Linked DNA regions of Astyanax mexicanus. The protein of the gene in region 1 purifies or fractionates together with the protein of each later gene. This does not show direct contact. Links are inferred from orthologs where the notes say so. Each region holds a gene or a part of one and is shown on either strand. Other genes may lie near its edges.

Evidence for each region.
Region 2: the proteins of ptpn9a (region 1) and lztr1 purify together in Homo sapiens (affinity purification with mass spectrometry; 3 studies listed by BioGRID and IntAct, with this or other methods). This does not show direct contact. The link is inferred for Astyanax mexicanus from reciprocal best matches to the Homo sapiens genes PTPN9 and LZTR1.

Annotation. Positions count from the first base shown.
Region 1 is NC_064409.1:42,588,791-42,600,135, reverse strand, and holds the start of ptpn9a (tyrosine-protein phosphatase non-receptor type 9), read left to right. Parts: upstream 1-5,451; 5' UTR 5,452-6,247; coding exon 6,248-6,280; intron 6,281-11,345. UniProt on the Homo sapiens protein: Protein-tyrosine phosphatase that could participate in the transfer of hydrophobic ligands or in functions of the Golgi apparatus.
Region 2 is NC_064429.1:31,311,995-31,324,314, forward strand, and holds the start of lztr1 (leucine-zipper-like transcriptional regulator 1), read left to right. Parts: upstream 1-7,220; 5' UTR 7,221-7,760; coding exon 7,761-7,930; intron 7,931-9,559; coding exon 9,560-9,622; intron 9,623-9,708; coding exon 9,709-9,765; intron 9,766-9,874; coding exon 9,875-9,954; intron 9,955-11,144; coding exon 11,145-11,253; intron 11,254-11,356; coding exon 11,357-11,437; intron 11,438-11,597; coding exon 11,598-11,655; intron 11,656-12,320. Other genes in the region: pole (DNA polymerase epsilon catalytic subunit A), read right to left, coding at 5-115, 1,301-1,408, 1,615-1,695, 1,908-2,052, 2,264-2,418, 2,859-2,951, 3,044-3,088, 3,184-3,264 and 2 more. UniProt on the Homo sapiens protein: Substrate-specific adapter of a BCR (BTB-CUL3-RBX1) E3 ubiquitin-protein ligase complex that mediates ubiquitination of Ras (K-Ras/KRAS, N-Ras/NRAS and H-Ras/HRAS).

The DNA.
Region 1 (11,345 bases):
ACTTTTTAATTGTACTCCTTACATTTTCACACAATTATCTGAACTGTCTACTCCTTACATTTTATAAACAGCCTCCCATTACTCCCATTTCATATCTGCACATTTTCATTCTGGCTTCTCATTGTACAAAAAAATAAAAACTATCCAGATAAATCTCTCCATCCAGATCCAAATCTGATTTTGGTTGGTTGAAAAATATAAACATATACCATTCCGACACCATGTCACGCCCACACTTCTACAAGAACATAGCCGACGTATGTAGTCTAGTATGAAGATGAGCAATACCAGAGACTCAAGAGAAATGTCCCAACTAAGCTTCTTTAATATATTTACATTGTACTAAAATGCATTCATCTTCAATGGGCATATATGCAGCTGAAACAGGGAGCCTAGTGCATTACCAATTTTCAACATCAACATTTTAATATAACATTAACATAACATTTTTTTTTTACTTTTTATACTTTAAGTAGTTTTGAAAGCAGAACCTTTACACTTGTACCTGAGTAAAAAGCTTGAGTTGATACTTCAAGTTCTACAGAAGTATTTTTAAGCTCTTTTATTTTTAATTCTACCTAAGTAATGAGTGTAAATACTTTTGACACCTTTGTTTTTAGTATACTAAATCTAGTAACTGATCCTGATTATTAAATACATTTAGTTTATTGGTCACATCTTTCACATAGGACTAATAAAATTCCTTGGCTGGTGATACTTTATATTGTTTCCTTGGGTTCTAATTATAGTCAAGTAGTTTTATTGTCAATACCGCATATGTACAGGACATACAGAGAATTGAAATTGTGTTACTCTCCTAGTATACTCTCCTACTATAGTACATCTTGTTTGCTAAACATGGCAAACACAAGGAAAAACAGATTTTTATCGTCCTGTTTTCTTTAATGTCATGACCAATAGCACTAAACCAGTGAGTGAAAAGGAAATGATGGTACACAAATAACAAAGGGCTTCTTCTCACTTACAGTGGGTTTTAGTACATATAATTAACAGCAGAACATCTGACAGCTGTGTGGTTTAAGAGAAATGAAAGGTATAGGTCATGCGTTGCATTCCAGGAACCCTCAGCACCTGTCTTCTCAGAAAGCTCTGAATAGCACTGTCTGTGCCTGTATTATGTGAAATAGGGAGGAGGAGGAAGAGAAGGAGGATAAGGTGAAGTGCCTGCTGACCCCATTAGTTGACTGAAGGTAGGAGGATGATAAAATCACTTTCATAATATTTATGTTTATTTTAATGCTCCCTCCCAGCTAATGCCTGGCTTACTGCCTGATAAAAAAAATCTAGATTTTTTGACAGTGCATAACCTGTTATACAGTAAAAAAAAAAAAAAAAAAAAAAAAAAACAGACTGTGAGGGGTTTGTTTTTTCCAGTGTCCTTGTGGGATTCCTCCATGTACTTTAGTTTCCTTCCATATTCCCAAAACACATGGTAGTTGAGTTGGCTATGCTAAAATACCCCTGAGGTGTGAGTAAGTAAATGTGTGTGTGGTACCCTGCAATGAACTGGAGTAGACCTACCCACTCGATAGGGTACATTCCTGCCTTGACCTCAGTGATTGCCAGTAGGTACTGACTAGACTGGACCACCAAATAGCAACATGTTTTTGAACTGCGGTCATTCGACACCTCAACACAGTTGGGGGAGAACACTAATACCCCATTTACATGTGGCTCCTTCATGTGACTAGTATCCAAATAGATTCTGATAGGATTTGATTCACATGTATTTCCATTTGGTAGTCAAATGCATCTTCAGTCAGGCCGACTGAAATCTGATTGCTGCCGGTTATGGAATATGCAAATCTATTCATTGCACAGCGATTACAGTATAACTGGTGTTTCTGTTGTACTTGGAGAAATTTGGGTTGATGAATGTGTCTCAGAAATAGAGATGTGTTTAAACTGTTATAACGTGGCCCATATCTGGAGCCTATGACTTTTTTATGTTACTATTACAATGTATATTATTATTTTTGTATCCCACCATTGATAAACTGTTTGGCCAGTTTGGAAAGTATTTACATCAGAACTAAATCGGTTTATGCTGCCTTAAAAACATTTATGTGTCTGATGTCAGGTGGTGGTTCTAGGTAGCACCTTAATGAGGTTAAATGAGTATTCAGTGTGTTTACACCTTTTGTGTTTTTAGTCATTTAAAAATGTTCTCCATTGTAGATTAACATTAAAGTCCTCCAAACTATGAAGAAAATACATGGACTTATTTAGTAAACAAGTGTTAAACAAACCAGAATGTTATTTATATTTCAGATGATTTAACATAGGCACCTCTTGCTTCGATGACAGTTTTGCACATCTTGTTAATTACTTGAATTTCTTGTCCTCTTAATGTGTTTGAGAGTTGTGTTGTGAAGAGGTAGAGTTGGTATACAGTAAATAGCCCTGTGTGGGTAATGTTAAGAAATTAAGGATAATCACAAAGACCATTCATCAGGACTCTCATCAAAAAGACCAGGCATACCTGTCAAGTTTTAGATTTAAAAATAAGGGATATTTTCCTCTGTCCGCTTAAAGCCGTCCCACCAGCCCAACGAAGGTTCAGTATCCCTTACATGTTAAAACAGGTTTACAAAAAATCTAAAATAACCACATGTGAAACACTTACACTACAATTAGATTATCAGAATCTGAACATGTTGTGGACATTCCTACATATGTCATTCTTTTAATACAGCCAAATTAAAAACCCTTTTCTATATATTTTTTTTATTTAAGATTTCATGTCTTTTTTGTAATAAATGCACTCTTTTATATGATATATTTTTTATTTATTTAATGGATTTAAAATTGAACAAAGAGTGCACAAATTCTGCAAAATGACTGTTGGTGACCTAAAAATGGTATTATGAGCTTTTACTAAAAGGACATGGACCAGATATATTCCATCAGTAAAAATTAGTCCTAAGGGGCCTACGCAATAATTTTTAATTAATACTTCTTCCTTTTGATCACTCCACCCCTGATCAGTTCAGTTAATGTCGGTCCTCTCCACATTTCTAGTTAAACTGAGTCACAAGCTGTAATTTTTTTTATTTTAAAAGGTTTAATCTGTGTGTTTTATTTCGGAGTATTTTTAAGCAGCTATCAGAAAAATCTCATCACAGTTTCCATGATTAGACTACCGTTACCTTTCTTTTAGAAAAAAGCTGCCTGAACTCACAGCGAGGAGGGCGGGGCTTCCCCACACTGACCCTCCTTGCAAGCTGATTGGCTGTTTTTCCTGAAAGGCGGGACTTTTTCCTTGAACCGGCTCCACGATTGGTTAAGAGACACAGAGCGGTCAGTGCCCTGTATCCTCAATAATATATATTTTTTTATTTTAATAAAATACGGGAAATTTACGGGAAAATACTAATACGGGAGGACAGCGGGAAAGAGGAGTAAAATACGGTAGTTTCCCGGCCAAAACGGGAGACTTGACAGGTATGAAGACCAGGTGGATAAGTTCATTAGAGGTACCACAAATTAAACAGCACGTGTGATTAGAGTATTTTGGTTTGTTTAACCCTTTTAAGTTACTACATGATTCCTTATGTGCTCCTTCATAGTCTGGTTGACTTCAGTGTTCATTTACAATATAGGGGGGGAAAATGTAATACATTGAATGAGAAGGTGTCCAAACTTTTGAGTGGTACTGTTTGAGTGGTACCCTAACCCTAACCCTAACCCTAACCAAACATTTCTCTCCATTGTACTATTTGTGATTTCCATACATTAATGGGTTTTAAGAAATAGGGCTTGACAACAAACTAAACAAATTGAGAAAGATGGGAGAATGAAAGAACACTAATTACTTAGAGTACTGTTTTTGGCAAGACTTTAAAATAAAGGTACATCAATTAAAAGTACTTACAACAAGAATAAACATTGTTAAGTGGCTTAGTAATGTCTCGACTAATTATTAATAGACAGTAGTTAAGACATTATTAAATATTATAAAATGTTAATTCTGTAATGTTGTAAATAATAATAAATAAAGAAGTTCAAGTGTTAAATGATTAATAATGTCTTTATTAGTGTCAATTAAAAAATAATACTGTTTATTAATGTACAGTTATTGTAGAGGGGTACTCTTTAGAGGGGTGTCTTTTAAGTCTGTCCTTCTGAAGGAGTTTTATGTGTGGATTTTTCAGGATGTTGTCAGTGTGAAAACAAAGCAGTAAGGAGGAGCTCTGTGGTGGGCGGTGCTGGATCTGCCAATCATGTTGGTCTAAAGCATACAGACCCGCCCACACAGAGAGTCATCTCACTGTAACTTACCTTTTTATTGAACTGGGTGTTCTTTTTCTCACTTTGCTAATTTAAGACGAGTTAAATCTAGTTTTACATTAAAACATTATCTTACATTCTGCGCCCTATTGCTTTTTTGCACTCAGACTTTGGACAGAGAGAGAGAGAGTGTGTGTGTGTGTGTGTGTTTACAGCTGCAGTCTCTCTCAGTATGGCGGAGTGGTATTTTTATGAATGGAGCAGATAGAAAGAGAGAGAGAGAGGGAGAGCAGGAGGGAGGAAGAGGAGGAGGATTGAGCCAGGCTGCAGTGTCTGCGTGTGTCCGGCAGGGGGGAGTTTGAAGCTGGAGCTTTTTTTCTGAGCTCCATTTCCCAACTAAAGATAAAAGCCTGAAAACCGCAAATATGTATTGCTGCAGACTGGAGCACCTCCAAAGAGGAGGGGCTTGCCTCCAAATGGGAGGTCCACAGCTCCAAAGGGGAGGGGCTTACCTCCAAGTGGGAAGTCCACCGGCTCGAGACTGTGAGCGCGTTTGTGCGCGAGACCTCTCTCACCTTCCGTGATTATTATTATTACTATTATTCTATTACAAAGAATTTAATGTTATATAAATTGTACTATCACATTATATTATATTATATCATATTATTATATTAAAGTCTACATCGCAAGGCAGGGAGACCTCACCCAACACAGCTTCATTTTCTGCCGAATGCCACAAAAAAAGTCCTCCGTGATTAAAAGGCTCATGGATGTCAATAAATATTTTAGTCAACAATTAATGATTATTTATATTTCTTAAATGTCAAATAATATACGTGTAGTGTGTATGTATTTATAATATTATTGGCTATGAATAAACAACTGCCTTTATTATTTAGATCTTTACTATTTTATAATTTGACAAATTCACAGCATGGCAAATGTTTAAACGTTTTTAAATAAATAAAATGTGGTTGCAATGTGCACAACATGCTTTTAGACTCTTAGAAAATGCATTTTAAAAGAAAATAAACATTTAATAAACGAAATAGATTAATTAATTAACTTTTGGGGTTATTTACAAGCACAAAACGTCGTGAAAAACACCATACCGCCTAACACCAAGCACCATCCTACTTGGAGGTAGGCTCCACCTGTTTGGAGGTATGTTCCTCTCCTTTGGAGGTGCTCCAGGCTGCAGCTATACCCTTCTCGAAAACCGACGCGGGGCGTCCAGATGTGTTAGTAACTTTTATCCGCCTCAGAGTCGGAGGGACGCGGCCTGGCCTCGCCTGTAGCTCGCCGTGCTTCTGGTCGACTGTATCTGACCGCTGGGGAACAGGGGGAGATGAAGCCGAGCGCTCGGTCGGGCTAACACAACATTAGCTAGGCTAGCTGGAGATTTTTAGAGGTTCGCCAGCAAACGGTAACCTGGGTTGCTTATAGATAGTTAACTAGCTAGCTAATCCAGCGTTAGCTATAGCTGAGTAGCGTCGGGATGCTGGTGTGATTGGTTACCGCTTGGTTACCGTTTTTGTGCCGTTATGGCACGGAAGGTCGAGACTAACGTTAAGTTGCTGCTGCGCATCTGAATTCCAGCAGAATTTCGCTCTAACGCTAACTAGCTGTTAAGTAGCTCGTTACGACAGAATGCCAGGTCTCTTGCTCTTATAATGGCACCTATAAGCTAGCTAACTAAGTGCTATTTGTCTAGGTTAATTACCCAGCGTAACGTAGTGTATTTTTTCTTCTGTTTACCTCAAATCGGCTGTATGTCTCGCCAAACCCGATGGCTGAGTAGCTGCTGCCCTCAGTAACCAGGTCTAGTTCAGTCCAGCAGGTCTGAGTGAGATCTGGAGCTGCTGCTGCTGTCGCGGTTTAATTTCTCCTAATATCTACAGTCAGTCGTTTCCCTCTCGGACTTACTGACGGACCACTCAGGAGGAGAAAAAGAGAGAAGGTGCCTTAAATACTTAAATACCACAGAGGAAGAATGGCCGCCACTTTAACAGCAGAGGAAGAGCAGGTAAGTGGAAATAAAAATAGCGAGAGGCAGAAACACATTAACTGCTACAGCTGTCATTTTCTAAGGTCACAGAATATTTAACTAGCTAGCTAGCCTAGTTAACCTAACTAGTTAGCTGTCCAAGGTTATTTAATGTTAAACACAGGTCTAAGCGATAGAAACTAGTACAAATATAAACCCTCTGTGGCATGAATTTTTATTTAATCTAAAGGAACAAATGAAACACTGCTTAATAAGAAGTCTGACTGCATAATGTGTCCTGATGCAAAAAATAAAAAACACTTTAATCTAAACAAATAAATGAACAAATGTTAATACCTCAAAACATTTTACATGTTGATGCATTTAAACATATTTTATCATTTTATCTTAGATTAATTTAAATTTAAACATGTTAAAGCATTATATTCATCTTCTCAACTACTAGCATTGCGTCCCAAAACCAAACCCACCTCTAGAGAGAATGTCCAAATTGTTCCCCCGCATTTTATTTATGTAGTTAGGCTTGTCTTGTGATATATTAAAAGAAAGAACATTAAAATTAAAGAGTTTGTGTAATCACAAAAAACTGAGGGCAACACCAAGCCATAGAGGGTTAACATAAGCACAATATTTAAAGATATGTTCTCAGTACAAAATATTTATTACAGTACATTCTGACATGCAGGTATAATAAGCTAACTTGTTAACCTACACAGGAGTGGCGGATATTATGGAGTGGCTGAATAATACCTGGTCTTCCTACAGCTGACTAATACAGTAATTTATATTCAAAATGTGCTTGATGTTATCAAGTTAAACAGAATTAATGACACACTTTGTACTGAAATGTGCTCTTAGTGTTAATCTTAGTGTTGAAATCTATGTTCTCCTATCCATTGAGCTCAGAAAAGTTAAGTTGAATGTGTTCATAGACACTCAACAGCATGCTCCTAGTAAGGCAATGTGAATCACCAGGAATAAGGTCATGTCCATGTATTATATGATAAATCAACATATTTTTCATATTTATTGTGACACACTTTCACACATGTACTTCTACACATCTGACAGTAGTGAAACCACTCACCTAGCTATTTGAGGTTTTAAGACAGCTCAGACCTCACCCTGTGTGAGTTAAGAGAGAATGTGCTGCGTTTGTTTGTGTGTGTGTGTTTGGTGCATGAGAGGTCGGTGAACACCAGGAATCAGGGCTAGATTTCACAATATTTCCACGAAAAGAAAAGAAAGTTTCAGTTTTCACTGTCGGACTAAAATCTTCCAGCCTGAAGGACACGTCCCTGCGTTTAGGCTGGAGGTTCAGTTTGTTGGGTTAAGAGATGTAGTTCTATTTTAAACAATTTTGAGTCTGAAGGTTTATATATAAGATTTCAGGGGAACCTGTGGTTCTGTGACCCTCAGTGTGTGTCTCCCTGAATAAGAAGGAGCAAAAATACAAGATTAAAGTGAAAATAAGTGAGAGTCATGCCTCTGTGCTATTAGTCCCACCAGTAAACGGTCAGTGTTTCCATAAAAAAAGAGGGCCTCAAACAGGAAATGGCCATTATATAATCCTCGCCTGTTATTTACAGTGCGTTATAAAGGAGAAAAACACCACCACATGCAATAGAGCTGCCAAAAATGCTCAATGCTTCTATAGTACTTTGGGTTGAGCTCTAGGTCAATAAAAATGTGGTAAATGAGCCTGTCTTTGCACTTTCCGCTTACTGGCGACTTGTTCAGGAACCTGTTCTGAAGGCTTAAAGAAGGATCAGTGGTCCTGTACCTGAACAAAGCTCTTCTGTCATTTTCTTTCCTGCTTTTGCAGCTCATTTGAATGAGGCCCAGCCTTATCGACCATCTCTTAGACTCCCTCAGCTCACCTCACTGGGAGAGAAACAAAGCTGCGCTGTTATCTTTCGTCCCTACAGTGTCTGTCTGCCAGCCAGTTAGTTTGTGAATGAAGCTCTCTCTTCACTCCAGGGACCTGCATCCACTTTGCCATCTCAGGAGAGGTGCAAGGCAGTGGGCCTTATCTGGGATGTTGCTTTTCTGTGTGTGTGTGTGTGTGTGTTTGGGAGTAATTACATCTCAGGCTGGACATGTCCGGAGCTCAGTGGGCCCGGAGGGACTGGCAGCCCAGCAGCTCGGTCGTTCTCTGAGGCAGCTGCTAAAAGCATTTCCACTGAATGAGGGCTCTGCTCTGCTGCAGGACTCTCACGGGGGTGGGAAGTGGTGGGGCGGGGGTATCTCCCAGGAAGCATCAGGGCGGGGGTTGGGTGGGTGAGTGTGAGAAAGCAAGTGACAGAGGAGTGAAAGACAGAGGCAGGCATGGATGGAGCTGATGACGCACGGCTCTTCCTGTTCAGCATCGACTGATGCCAAAATAGACAGGAGTGACAACCTGAATGTGGCACAGGGGCTGTCTGTCTCTGTTTTTGCACTTAATGACATGGACCTGCACGGGGTTGGCTTCTAAACATTTTATAATCACCAGTAGGTCATGCCACAGCTCCACAAACATTACATGAATGGCACTGATTATTTCTAATAAGCTCTACCCATTGTTTGCCATGTTATCGTGTCCTTTTTACGGTTGTAATGCATATGTGGGTGGAAGGATCCAGAGCTCTGTCCCAGGGGAAGAATGCTTATTTAGTGGTCAGTACATCTGGATGCACTCCAAGATGGAGTCGAGTTGTGTGGTGAAGCCAGTTTTTGATGTGGGACAACAAAAAGTCGCTACTAGCTAGCGTGCATTAGGTGAATGATCATATGGCTTACAGTAAGCAAGCTTTATTTTAAGTTTTAGCGTAGTGAATGAAATTAATCATAATTTGGAAAGTTCCAAAACTCTGAAAGCAGGGCTGCCTTTAGTGAGTTTTCGTTTCATGTGTAAATCCTGTTGACTCAGCGTGGTTTCCACAGATGATGACTGAAATCTCTCCTCCAGAGTTTCAGAATTACAACTGCTGACTAAGCAGACTGAGCAGAGCCTGAGCAGCCTCTTTTGACCTGCATGACACTGATAAACTAAAGCAGGGATGGGGAAACTCAGTCCTGGAGGGTCGAATTCCTGTACAATTTATGCATTTCCTGCTCAGACACACCTGATACAACTCGCACATTAATTGCGAGATTTGGTTGGTGTGCTAAAGCAGAAAAATTGGCAAACAGCTATGCCCTCAGGTTCTCATTCCTAAACTGAAGAGAGTTGTTTTACAACCACATTTGGGAGTTTGTTTGGAAATATGACCCCCCCCCCCCCTCTTTAATTCCTTTCCTTTTCAAACCAATGGCCTAATTTGTACTAGCAGTGTGGAAAAATATATTTACACAATATTAAGTTTTGCAATACTTTGAGATGGATTCATCACTTTTTTTGGGGTCATACCAAATGTTTATCATCTTTTAGCTTTATTGGCTGAAAGCACATTCACTATTCCAGGCAATCTTTTGGGTAATGAAATATTGTGCAGGATTTCTGCAATGCTTCATGTCTGACTTGGTATAGCGTCATTTATTTGTTTTTACCGGCATGAGTGAGGTCTGTTTTGTCATTTAGCAGTTAAATGAAAAATTGAGCATCTGTTGACTTTGCTCAAGACTGCAGCAACTCGAAAAAATATGGATTGTATGATCTGGCCATCAAATAATCACCAAATGCTTATTTGGACGAAAAATTGTCTATTGCGATGTATATCTGATTGATCATTCAATTTCTTGCAAAACTGTATCAGTTTTAATTAAAAGTTTACCTCGACTGCTAGATAGCAGTGTTATACTGTCTTCAGGTCCCTCTGTTCTGATTGGACGACAAGCAAACCGTTCTTTTACTTGGATTTTGAGAAGTGTGTAAGTGTGTGTTTTATAGTATGTAGGTTGTCTAAAAATCTGATTTAAAAATAAAGATTTGCAGTTTGTTGCGTTGTTCACCAGTTTTGAAACATTTCACATCAAGTAAAAATGTTATGAATCACTTTTTAAAAATGAAATGTCATATAGTCATGTCAAATTTGTTGTTTTATAAATGAAGCCCCTGAAGTTTAAGCTTGAAATGTGACATTCCTGCTGATCAGAAATGGCAAAACAACACAAGGGGTTAGAAGCAATAATGAAAGCAGTAATTTGTTTGCAGCAAATCATAATTAATATTTATAGCATAATTTTGGCTCATCACTTCATAACGTTAAACTCCTTTAATTGCTCTTTCCATCTCTGTTGAAGTTGTTTGCTCTCCCTGCTCCTGATGAATTAGTGCATGTGTGAGATTATGGTTTCTCAGGAAGTGACATGGATTGCCAGTAAAGCTTTTTGATTTTTTTTTTCCTTTCCCTCTCCTCCCCACATGGATATCTGAGCTCTTGCAACATGTGCGCATGTGCGTGCACACACACACACACACACACACACACACATATATATACATACACATGTGAGCACATGGATCCGTTTTAGGCCTGTGTCTATAACAGTCTAAAGACCAAAGAATGCAATCCCTGAAGGCAGAGCCAAGCCTAAATGTCCACCCACCTACCTTTTGTACAAACACATTATGGTATAACATGACTTCCACACAGAATGTTGACCCTTATTTGTTGACCATTATTTCTGAGGACTGAACTGTTCTGTCATCTCTGCTGCTTTCTTTAAATGGTTCCTTAGCTGGCTAAAGGGTTCTTTGTTACAGTGGAAATCTTTAAGATAGTTCCATGTAGAAACTGTAAAAGTGGTTCTGTAAAGCACTGAAATGAGTTCTAATGAGGGGTGCATGATGCAAAGAATGTGAATATTTTTTGCTTAAAGTAGAGCATCTAGTTTTTTAATGGCTTGGTCTGTTCTTGGATTGGTTTCATGAATAATTTTCCACATCCGGTTAATGAAATTGTATGTCAGATGGAGATTTTGGATTAACAGAGCATTTTGATGCTTTGAGGAGAATCTAAAATGGTATTTGCTAGTGTGTATGTGTATGTGAGAGAGAGGCCACCTTTCAGGCCAGTGAAAGAGCTGACTGCTGCATCTCCTGCTTTATAATCACAGCACAGAGCGCAGGCTCTTCACAAACACCAACAAAAGGCTCCTT
Region 2 (12,320 bases), on another chromosome or scaffold:
TTACCTCATCAGCTTCATTAAACACAGTAAAGGGTCCCTCGTACTCTGGCTTAGGGGTGAACTCAAAATCCTCAATATCCTCAGAGACAATCTCCCTGTTTGTGATCAGGAAACCCTATCAGAGGACAAAACAAGCAAGTGAGACACTTAATTCAGTGCGAAGATTTCCTTTAAGGGAAGGTTTAACATTAAAAAACTAGGGGTGTCATGATTCTCCAAATCCTTGATTCGATTTTATTTCCGATTTTAGGATCCCGATTCGATTCGATTCTCGATTTTCTTTTGTTTACAGCAGAGAGGACTATGCCAGTTTTAGATTAGTCTTTGGTCAGTCATTGGTTTGATTCATCAAATTTACAATATCTTATTTCAAAAGGTGGGCTTGATATAAGTGATGCAAAGTGATACAAGTGATCTGTAATACACCACATTGAGTGATCTGTAATACACCACATTAGGCTCTAATGGTCAAATTTAAATAATTTAATTAAGATATATATGTAATGCCATCTAGTGGCTTTTTTGGGAGCAGCAGTGTGCGTTATTAAAACAGCAATGTGCAACATAACAAAATAAATAATAAAAAAAATACAGGAACAGTCATGTAAAAAATAATAGAACAATTAGAGACTTAACAAACTGAACTCTATCCTACTATTAACAGTTATATAATAACAGTTAAACATGAAAAATAAGACTCCCTGAGAATTACATGTTTTTTTCTTTAATAAAGATATATTATTAACTTTATCTGAGAGAAAGATGCTCCTTAAGGTACCGAAACTATTAACATATTTGAAGCTAGACAAAATAATTGTTCTTTTTATATTTTATATAGTTTTTTCTTTAAGAAGATGAGAATGTCCACATTCTCTGGAGAAAGGGCTGCTCTTTGAGCATTCACAATGTCTGCGCTGCGCCATTTGCCTAGCATGCTGCGCCATTTGCCTAGCATGCTGCGCCATTTGCCTAGCATGCTGCGCCATTTGCCTAGCATGCTGCGCCATTTGCCTAGCATGCTGCGCCATTTGCCTAGCATGCTGCGCCATTTGCCTAGCATGCTGCGCCATTTGCGAGGCTCGAGACCATGACATAATTTCGATCGATTTCAATAAAATATCGAAATTGTGACACCCCTATAAAAAAAACGTATTTCTAAATTCATTCTTTTTTTTTCCCCCCTTAATCTCCTTTCATATGAATCCCCCCATCTCAATGACCACAAAGACTTCTTTATGATCTGCCTTAGTTCTCGGATCAACTTAAGAGCCCTACACAACACTTAGTGAAGATCACTTACCTGCCCATCAATCATATAGGAGATCATCATAATCTGGTCTGTTTCTGCATCAGGGAACTTAAGAGGGAGCTTTGTGGTCTCAATATCAAATGCCAATACAACAGGATCCTGTAAAAGAGAAGCTATACAATCAATACATAAACTGCATTCGATGAATTTTGTGTTTTAAGCGGACTACTCTGACTATTACACATAAGCTCAATATATTGAATAGAATATTTTACTTTTAAAAATCAAAACTGCCACCTTACAGAAATACCTGTAACTTTATTTCGTAATGGGTACAGTACTGTAGTAGTGATACTAGTACTTACAGGTCTTTCAACAAGATCATCCCTACGCACAATCTCAGGAGGGTATGCACTGCCTCTGTACCGCACGTTATACCAGTGAGCCTGAAATCAAACAAGGTTAGTTTAAATCAACATCAAATCTAAATACTGGAGACAAAGTTAACTAATTTAAACCTGTCAGCACAATATTAACACCTAGCTCCACTAGAAAACTTCGTAGCACAGTGCAAAACATGGATGGGATGAGACCACACATGCAAATGTGTTCTATACAACATAATTCTTAATTATGAATCTGTGGAGTGTGTTCTTACCACATGGATCTTGAGGTCAATGGACAGCCTTACATGGTAAGGTACATCATACTCCCTCATATCCACAATGTTGTCTAGCTGGTCAGACATTTTCTTTGATGTACCATCTTCATCAGCTGTCATCACATTCCCACCTGCGAGTACACTACAACACAAATCACCAAAGGTGAACATCTTATATAATCAGAACATTCTGATTAAATATTGTGCAATTTGTGTAATCATATTGTTTCAATTCAGGTTACATTTGCATGAAAATAACATAAAACTGTAATGAGTTTCATATAAAACCATAATAATCAAAGAGAATGGCAATTATTATGTGTAATTTCTAAATTGGGATGTATGAAAAATACCTGCACAGCATGCTGGTGTAGGCATCATTAGATTTCTCTCTCTCCCTGTTTTTTCTAACGGCAGGTGAAATCTCTCGCTTCACTTTGATTAGGTCGTCCACTGTGTTAAAGGACAGTTTGATGTAGTTCCTCTTCAGACCCACCAGGTGGTTCGGCTGGAATAAACAACAGCATATTAAAACAATACTAAAATGAAAGTAACATAATATAAATAGAGAGAAATTTCTGAATTTATAAGCACATAAAAGGTTTGAAAGACTGACAGACAATCTGATATGCAACAGAGTTACAATGATGGGTGTAAGAAAATATCAATATCCTCGAGAATCACAAAAATATTTTGTAATACTGTATCGTTTCTTAAAAAACAGCAATATTTTTAAAGAATAGTTCACATGCAAAGATTGCTGTCAGCCTCTAGACATCAGTGCTTAATTCTTAAGATGCCACTGTTCTTACTGAATAAAAAAAAGTTTAATAAAACCCAATAAAAGCCATCACATATCTTTGCACACAGTATTACAATTAACATGCTGTGTCATAAAAATTAAAAAAGGCTAAATAAATTATGTAAAAATGTAATGTGTCTCATTACCAGATCTAGATCCTCTTTGGGCACAATCTCCAGTTTTGCCACCTTTCCTTGGTACTTCTTTGACAAGTAGGAGACGACTTCTCTCTCACAGTTCTACAGAATTTACAGAAAATAAAGAGGTCACATTGGAAAAACCCTACTTTATATGTTGTACTAAATGTTTGTAGATACATTTTTATTCTTACCTTTTTAGTGGCTATGTAGAAGTATGGCTTAAAGGGTAAAGCCACCTACAAAAATAAACAGTGAATGTTAAAGGATGAAATAGAGAGGGAAACAAATTAACCAAACCATCAACTGCTGATTTAGTAACATTATTCCTAACCTTGAATCTGCTGCCATCTTCCTGAATGAAGTAATAATCCACAGCACTGATCATCCTCTTGTCATCATCCAAAATCTCCGTCTGGCAGAAGTGAGATATCACAGGAGTTACTGAGAGCAGTGAAAACTCTACAGATTGCTTTATTAGGTGCTTAGTGTTATGATGTTTTCATGAATTTGGGTTAATTATTTCTTATACATTCTTAATTTGTATTAAATGAACAGACATTTAACAGAGTATTATTATTATTATTATTGTGTATATGACCCTTTTGACCACGTACCGGATGCATGTTGATCAGCCATCCAGTTTTTTCTCCAGGCTCCTTCATTCGCTCAAATCCGAAGCGTGTGTCCATTCCATCAGTAAACTGACTTCGTTCAAGCCGCTTGACGGCAGACATGCCGGGTCCATCATCCCTTTAGGCAAAACAATTCATTACATTAGCACATTTTTAATAAACAGTAGCTGTAGTGATATTATAACACAGTGGAAGCGGCTGGGAACAACAGCAACTCGCTTTATCAGTGTCAAATCAGAGTATCAGGTATAAAAGAGCATCAGTGTTACTTGTAGTGTATCTTCCTTTGGTCAAGTTCTGTCATATTTTTCTTTTTGCCTTGGATGTCTTGAGTGACTTTATGTTTTGAAATTTATTTTAACGTGTCTGAATTACTAAAATACAAGTAAAATATACAGACCTTTCACAATAACAATTTATTATTGCGATATACAATATCATAGAATATTTTTTTTGTAATTAATCATAGCTTAAAAAAAAGTATATATCAAAACCCACCACATATCTTTGGATACAAAATCACAATCAATATGCTGCATCATGCACATATAATAAGACAAAATGAATGAGGGAAAATTTTTAATGGGTCTCATTACCAAATCTAGATCCTCTTTAGGCACAATATCCAGGTTTCACGATTATACAGTGTTAAAATATTGACTATTCAGTAGAGGTGGGCGATATGGCTCTAAAATAATATCACGATATTTCAGGGTATTGTTTGCGATAACGATGTACTTGGCGATATAGGAAAACTAAAATAATTCATTCATTTCAGGAATATAGTATAATAGAATAACATAATAATCATAATGTGGGAAAATAAATAATATAGCATAAAATAATATAATGCAACAAATAATATTGCAGAATATTTAGTGCATGCATATAAACTGCAAACAAACAATTATACAATAAATACACCTAAAGCTTCACAGTAAATAATAGACTACTTTTAAAACAAAACAAGGCCTATTATCACAATATGGATTTTTAATATCATGATATTTCTGTGTCACGATATAATATTGCCCACCTCTACTATACAGAACACACATATTTATTATGAACACCCAGCTCTGCTGATTTAATATCAGAACTTACACTCTACATTTAAGCTTTTGGATTTAATATCAGACAATAATTAACCCAAAAAAAAGATTAATCTAAACACACATTATCTAATAAGTTTCACAGCAGTTCTGTTCTGCACTCAGCAACGTCTTAGTGATTTTACATATGTCTCCATACCAGATATTTAATTAGTGACAATACTTAACCTACCTAACCTAGTTTAAAACCAAGGTAGCTCTCACTTTAAGCTTTACATTTTAAAATCAGACTGTAATTATCCCCTAAAATAGAAGATAACACCAAACACACGTTAAATATATTTACTGCAGCTTTGTTTTATACACTCAGCAACATTTTAGGCCTGATATTTCTTTCCATTCTCAGGTTATATTCTGGTTACTCCTCCTCCTACTGCTGCTGTTAGTTGTCAGTGTTGTGAGAACTTACTGCTGGTTGTCTTGGTCTCCTCCATCCCGGTCTACTCTGAATCTTCCACTGTTCTGTAGAACCATCCTGAATTAAGCTACTAACCGCTGGCTAGTAAGTTAACTAGTAAACAATCTGAGTACAGAGGCTCTATAGAGCTTAAGGTGTCTGGAAAGGTTAGCTAGCTAGCTAAGCTAGTTAAGCTAAACCCCCGCTAGCTAACTAACCACTACTCTTGTCATCCAGCGCTAGCACAGCTAGCTATCGTAACTACTTACAAACATATATAAGCGATTTACATTCAATTCTCTCTATTTTCTCAGCCAACACAACTATATATCACATCTCCGTAACAAGTAGAGTGTGCCGGTTGGCGTTAAAGCGCATATAAAATAGAGTTTCTTGAAATTTTTCTCTAATATTCGCGGCTATTTTTACTGTTTTCCCCAGTCTGAGTTTGGCGGGTTTTTGCCCTACTTGCCGCGAGAGCCCATCAGCTTCCGCGCGCACGGCTCCGCCCCTTGATGCCTGTTGACCAATCGGGGCACAGATTGGCACATGGAAGCTCCTGGATCGCGTCCCAAATGGCTATACACCCTATGTAGGGCACTAGAAATTGACAGCTGCTGCACTCAACTAAGTAGTGAACTTATATGCAGTATATATGGAGCATTGTTGCTATTTGGGATTGGTCCTTGGTGCATTTTAGAAATCATTTTTTTGCTAAAAAAAAAAAAAAAAAAGCATTGCTCCTGAACTAATGACTATGGAAGCCCATTTCCGCCACCTGAAGAAAAAAAACGTCCTCAACTAAGTCATAATTATGAGATAGAAAAGTCATAATTATGGGATAGTAAGTCATAATTATGAGATAGTAAGTCATAATTATGAGATACTAAGTCATAATTGTGAGATAGTAAGTCATAATTATGAGATAAAAAAGTCATAATTATGAGATACTAAGTCATAATTATGAGATAGAAAGTCATAATTATGAGATACTAAGTCATAATTATGAGATAGAAAGTCATAATTATGAGATAGAAAGTCATAATTATGAGATGACTTTTTATCTCATAATTATGACTTTCTATCTCATAATTATGACTTTCTATCTCATAATTATGACTTACTATCTCATAATTATGACTTACTATCTCATAATTATGACTTTCTATCTCATAATTATGACTTACTATCTAATAATTATGACTTTTTTATCTCATAATTATGACTTACTATCTCATAATTATGACTTAGTTGAGGACGTTTTTTTTTTCTTCAGGTGGCGGAAATGGAATAAATGACTGTATCTAAACCTGTTTAAATGTTTTTTTTTTTCAGTGTTTAAAGTGGAAATAAACTATAGCGTTATTACGTACCCCCCTCCGTGTTTTTATTACGATGACTTTGCTAATATTATATTATAATATATTATAATATTATTTATCTTTAATATTAATGTTGAGGATTCTTTAAATTTCACTTATTTGTTTATTATGTTTACCTTTTATTTTTCTGCTTATTCAATTCCTTGTTCTAACCTTCTAATATACAGGCAATAGTGATATAAATTGCAATTGTCCTAAATAACTGTATTAAAGAATACTTTAGTAACACATATTAATCATCCCATTCATTTATTAAAATCCTGTTAAATAAATGCATTATTTATGAGAACTGAAATGTGAAAATACTGAAAAATACTGTTTAGATAGGGTTAGGTACTATATATGTGTTTGTATGCGTGTGTGAAATAAAATTATCTTAAGAATACACTACTGCAGCAAAATGAAGCTTACATTTTATTATTGTATACGATATGATATGGCACACCCCTAACTGAGATTTTAAAAAATACAAGACTTTTTAACAGATTTTTAACAAAAGTTAGTGATCCAAAATGTCATGATACTAATAATAATGCACTCCAAATATCTCCATATATCCTAAAATAAAGTCGAATAAATGATAATGGACAGATATAATCTTTCTCTGGTAGATATATAATGGGAAATGAGAAGAGTGTGAATTTTTATTTTGCTAAAAACAGCAAAAAAGCAGTACCCTGATGTGATAATTAGTGCTGGGTGATATTGCACGATATTTCATGGTATAAAACCGTTCATGATATTGAAAAATGCTTATAAAAACATATAATAAATAATACAAAGTAAAAACATGAATGAGCGAGTAAGTGAGAGAATCCACCAATCAGAATCGAGAAAATCACGCATGGCAACTGCTGGGGAGACTCCGCCCATAGGAGCGATGAGGAAAGTAGCAACAGCTAGCCTAGCTTAGCTAACTAACTGGTTGTTTGGCTTAAAATATCAGTTATGCTCTTTATCTTTCTAAAGCAGCAGCTTTTAAAATTTGCCTGTTACATAAAGTGAGCTTTAGATAATATCTGAGAGGAGGGGCCTTAAAGAAAACCTGATTTTTAGGGGTTGGTTTTTAGGTTGGATAGTTAGCCAGCCTTAGCTTAGCAACGTTAGCTTAGCAGAATGGAAGGCTGAGAGTCTGTCAAACTCTGCTGCTGCTGCTGCGTTTATTATTAGCTAGTTAAACAGGTTTATATAAATATAATAATGGTAAATATGCTGAATATGGAGGATATTAGGCTACTATGAGCTTCTGAGTTTAAAGCTCCGCACTGTCTGCTAGCTCTGGTGGTTTGTTTTAGTCAGAAACCCGCCCCCCTCCTTCTCCAGGCCGAGCTGTCTGATTTCTCCCCCCGTGGCGGTCACACAGCGCCGGGTAGAGCTCCAGCTGAATGTCATGGTTTCCTGGAGCCATGTCTTGTAAGTCCAAAGTGGCCCCGAGTGTGGACTTCGACCACAGCTGCTCGGACAGTGTTGAGTATCTGACACTCAACTTCGGTCCCTTCGAGACCGTCCATCGCTGGAGGCGACTCCCACCCTGCGACGAGTTTGTTGGGGCAAGGTAAGCACCAGGGCTGGACCCCCAAAATACAGAGGTTTCAGTATAAATACAGCTCTGGAAAAAATTAAGAGACTACTTCAGTTTCTGAATCAGTTTCTCTGGTGTTTGAGTAAAATGAACATTGTTATTTTATTCTATAAACTACAGACAACATTTCTCCCAAATTCTAAATAAAAATATTGTCATATAGAGCATTTATTTGCAGAAAATTAATGAACAAATTGTTGGAATAACAAAAATGATGCAGAGCTTTTAGACCTCAAACAATGCAAAGAAAACAAGTTCATATTCATAAAGTTTTAAGAATTCAGAAATCAATATTTGGTGGAATAACCCTGGTTTTCACAATTTTCACACATCTTGGCATGTTCTCCTCCACCAGTCTTACACACTGCTTTTGGATAACTTCATGTCACTCCTGGTGCAATAATTCAAGCAGTTCAGCTTGGTTTGATGGCTTGTGATCATCCATCTTCCTCTTGATTATATTCCAGGGGTTTTGGATTTGGTAAAATCAAAGAAACTCATAATTTTTAAGTGGTCTCTTATTTTTCTCCAGAGCTGTAGCTACCTATGAATAGAGAGAAATTGGTGCCTAATTGAAAACCAAACGCTACCGTAAAAAAATGTAAATGCAATCCACAAGATGCATTGCTTTTCTTCACTAACATGCTGAATACATGCCAGAATGAAATGCAAAACCACTATTGCATTACATTTTCCTGCACTTTTTTATTATCATTAAAAAAACAGTACACAAGAATTTACATTTTCAAAACCAAACGCTTAATTCGTATCAGAATTGCACTTGAAATGCATCTCAACAAAATCATCTTAACTGCATTGTATTCCACTGTGCAGTGCTGTGAATGTTCAAAAGCAAATCACACTGCACAGGATTGCATTTCGTCTAGGAGCATCGTGGAGTGAGTGTCAAAATGAAATGTAATCGCTGTCCAATCAGAACCCACTACTCAAGTTGGGACGGGGCTGAGAAAACTGAAAATGAACTTAGGGTGTAGTAAAACATGATAACAAACATGAGTACAAGCCTTTGTTGAATAGCCCACCTCCATTCACCTCCAGCATTCAGAAATACAGTGCTTTTAGCTGATACTCCCAACTAACAGGCTTACAATGCTAGTGATAGGGGCATAGTGCTGCCCATGCAAAGAAATCACTTTTTACACCAGTAACAAGCTCAAAGTAGCTTCACACTTTATTGGTAGAATTCTGAGGCCCCGGACGTTTAAAACGACACACTGAGATCTTTGAAAGTGCAAACTATTAAACTATTTTTTTTAATTGAGTAAACTACTGTAAATAATTCCGTAGCCACTTATGTGGAAGCTACTGTGAATAATTGAGTACTAATGTAAATTGACAAGCTGAAATGATTTAGTAACTACTACAAGTCGTCCACTAACTACTATCAATTTTAGGGTAACTGCAACAAATGATTCACTAAACATACTGCTTTTTTGGGTTCAAAGAGTTAAATATGTAAATAGCATAACTTTTTGAACCCCAAAGAGTTGTATGTTTACTAAATCAATTTATTCAAAAAATTGTGGTATTGTCAGTATTTGGTCATCGTTAAGTTATTGATTTATCTTTGTCCCCTTACAGACGCAGCAAGCACACAGTGGTGGCGTACAGGGATGCCATCTACGTGTTTGGAGGAGACAATGGGTAAGAAATTGGATGCTGGTGTGAAACATAATATACGTCAATAAATTAACCAGCTATTGAAAGTCTCACTAATGATATTGTTGCAGGAAAAACATGCTTAATGATCTGCTGCGCTTTGATGTGAAGGACTGCTCATGGTGTCGGTGGGTAAATTGAATTTTAAAGGATTATTATTTGTTTTTATTATTATTTATTTTTTTACAAATGCAATGCTTTTTAAAATCATATTATTCATGTATTTTAATTGAACAGGGCCTTTACCACTGGCACTCCACCAGCACCCAGATATCATCACTCTGCAGTCGTGTATGGGAGCAGCATGTTTGTGTTTGGTATGTGTATTTTTTATTATTATTGTTATTATAATATATATATATATATATATAATATGCATACATACATATTTTAGTACTGGTACTGAGTGCATGTTTTAAAATTAATCTCAGAAATATGAAGGACGCTCCCGGATAGAGGGTGGATGTGTTCAGTTACATTAGCAGCTCACCTGATTTAACATCCTTAATCACTGATTTACCAAACCAACTGTTGATATGATGAGGACTATAAATAACACTGAACTCCTTGAGGAGAGCTTTGAAGATGTTTTAATAAGCACCGTGATGTAAAAAACCCTACTTTTTCTTATGAAAAATATTACTAATGTATTTATTTTAATATTAGTGTTCTTCTGAGTAAATAGTCTCTTTTTGCCCAGATAAGGAGCTTTTTCAATCTAATTTTCAAAGGTTCGTAAAGTGCACAGGTACATAATCAGTTTCAAGATATAGATACATTGTCAGTTCAGGACTTTAGGCAGAATGAATTGGCATAACATGTGAGACACACTTTATTTTGTCCAGCAGGTTGTGCTAGAGACCAACTGTTAAAGAATGTTATGATTTTGTGTTTGTTTTTATTTTTTCACAGTGAATGAATATTTCACAATGTGTGCTTTATTTTTGCTAATATTTGTTTTTGATGAACACAAAAATTGGACATTATAATGAATAGCAACAATGTTTAAGCAAATATTTTGTTAGGACTATTCTTTTTAGTAGAGCAATTTCGTAGGGCAATTGTTACTTTGTTAAAATTCTTACTTATTTTTTTAGCTTATGTTTGTCATATTCCAATTTTAAAGTCTGAATGTTCTTAATCATCAAAAGTTAATTCCATTGTTATGGGACTGTATGTATCAGTGGCATAAAATGGTTTTAAAATGACAAAATTTATCAGGATTATTTCTGGGACTGCATATATTGTCCACAAAAACAAAAAGTTATGCGTTTCATGCATTTAGTCCTGTTTAACCACATTGTGATAGTGATTCGTTTTGCTGTGTCAACATGTCTACAAAATGTCTTCAAATATTGTGATATAATATTTTTTACCGTATTTGCCAGCTCTACTGATTTAATATACACTGGTGAGCTTGCCCTGGGCAAATATGTATATTCTAATTATATATAGTTTAATTGTAGGCTTTGTATTATACATTAATCACTGTCTTTGAATGTTTCAGGTGGATACACGGGAGATATCTACTCAAACTCCAACCTGAAGAACAAAAATGATCTGTTTGAGTACAAGTTTGCTACTGGCCAGTGGACAGAGTGGAAGGTGGAGGGGAGGTAGGACAATATGATAGTGTGGATATCTGGTCTGCATGTAAAATCTACTGTAGTCTTGAAGATGCTGTTTATCTACACTTTATGTGATTTATGTGTGTTTCAGATTAGTAGCCAGGTCTGCTCATGGTGCCACAGTCTATAACGACAAGCTGTGGATTTTTGCTGGTTATGATGGAAATGCAAGGTAAGTTCATAAGAACTACTTTAATTCACAATGTTATTTAAAAATGCTAAATGTGTTTATTGATCTATGATGATGTTAAACAGGTGTTTTTTAATAAATATAACATTTAGTGCTATAAATGCTGTGAATACGTATATCAGATTTAGTTTTCTCTCCACAGACTGAATGACATGTGGACCATTGGGCTTCAGGATCGGGAGCAGGCTTGTTGGGAAGAGGTAAGTAAGGCTTTTGAGGGTTCTTTTTAAAATTTTGACTAACTCTATAACCTGTTTAGATCATATGATATTGAATTGAAGTGTCCTGCAATCAAGAATACTGTACATTCACTTTTTTTCTGGGGCTCATAGTGTTTGAGATTTAGGCAGGTTTTAGTGCTGATTCAAGAATACATAACTTATTGTTAGGTATTGTAAAGATATATAGCTTACAAAAAAAAGAATGTAACCATATATAATTTATTTATACATTTATTTCTGTTAAAAAATGAAGACTATAGCTTTATATAAATTACTATATTACTATAGCTAATCTATGATTCTTTTTATTAATATAGTAGTAGCTGTAGTAGTCATTATTAGTATTGTTGAAGCAGCTTTAAGAGAAAATTGGTGTTTTTTCTTTTGGGCTCCTCCTACAGATGAGGAGTCTAATTGCCCTGAATGCTGTAATCCTGAAGGTGTTAATTACTACGAGATATCAGGCTACATTCACATTAACATTGACTCAAATCTGATTTTTTTTGCTCAATGTGGCTCTGATCTGATTTTTTTTCATGGCTGTGTGAACGTGCCAAATCTGAGTTTTTTCAAATCAGATTTGAGTCACTTTTATATGTGGTCCTAAATCTGAGATGTGTCTGATCAATGGACATGCCACATGA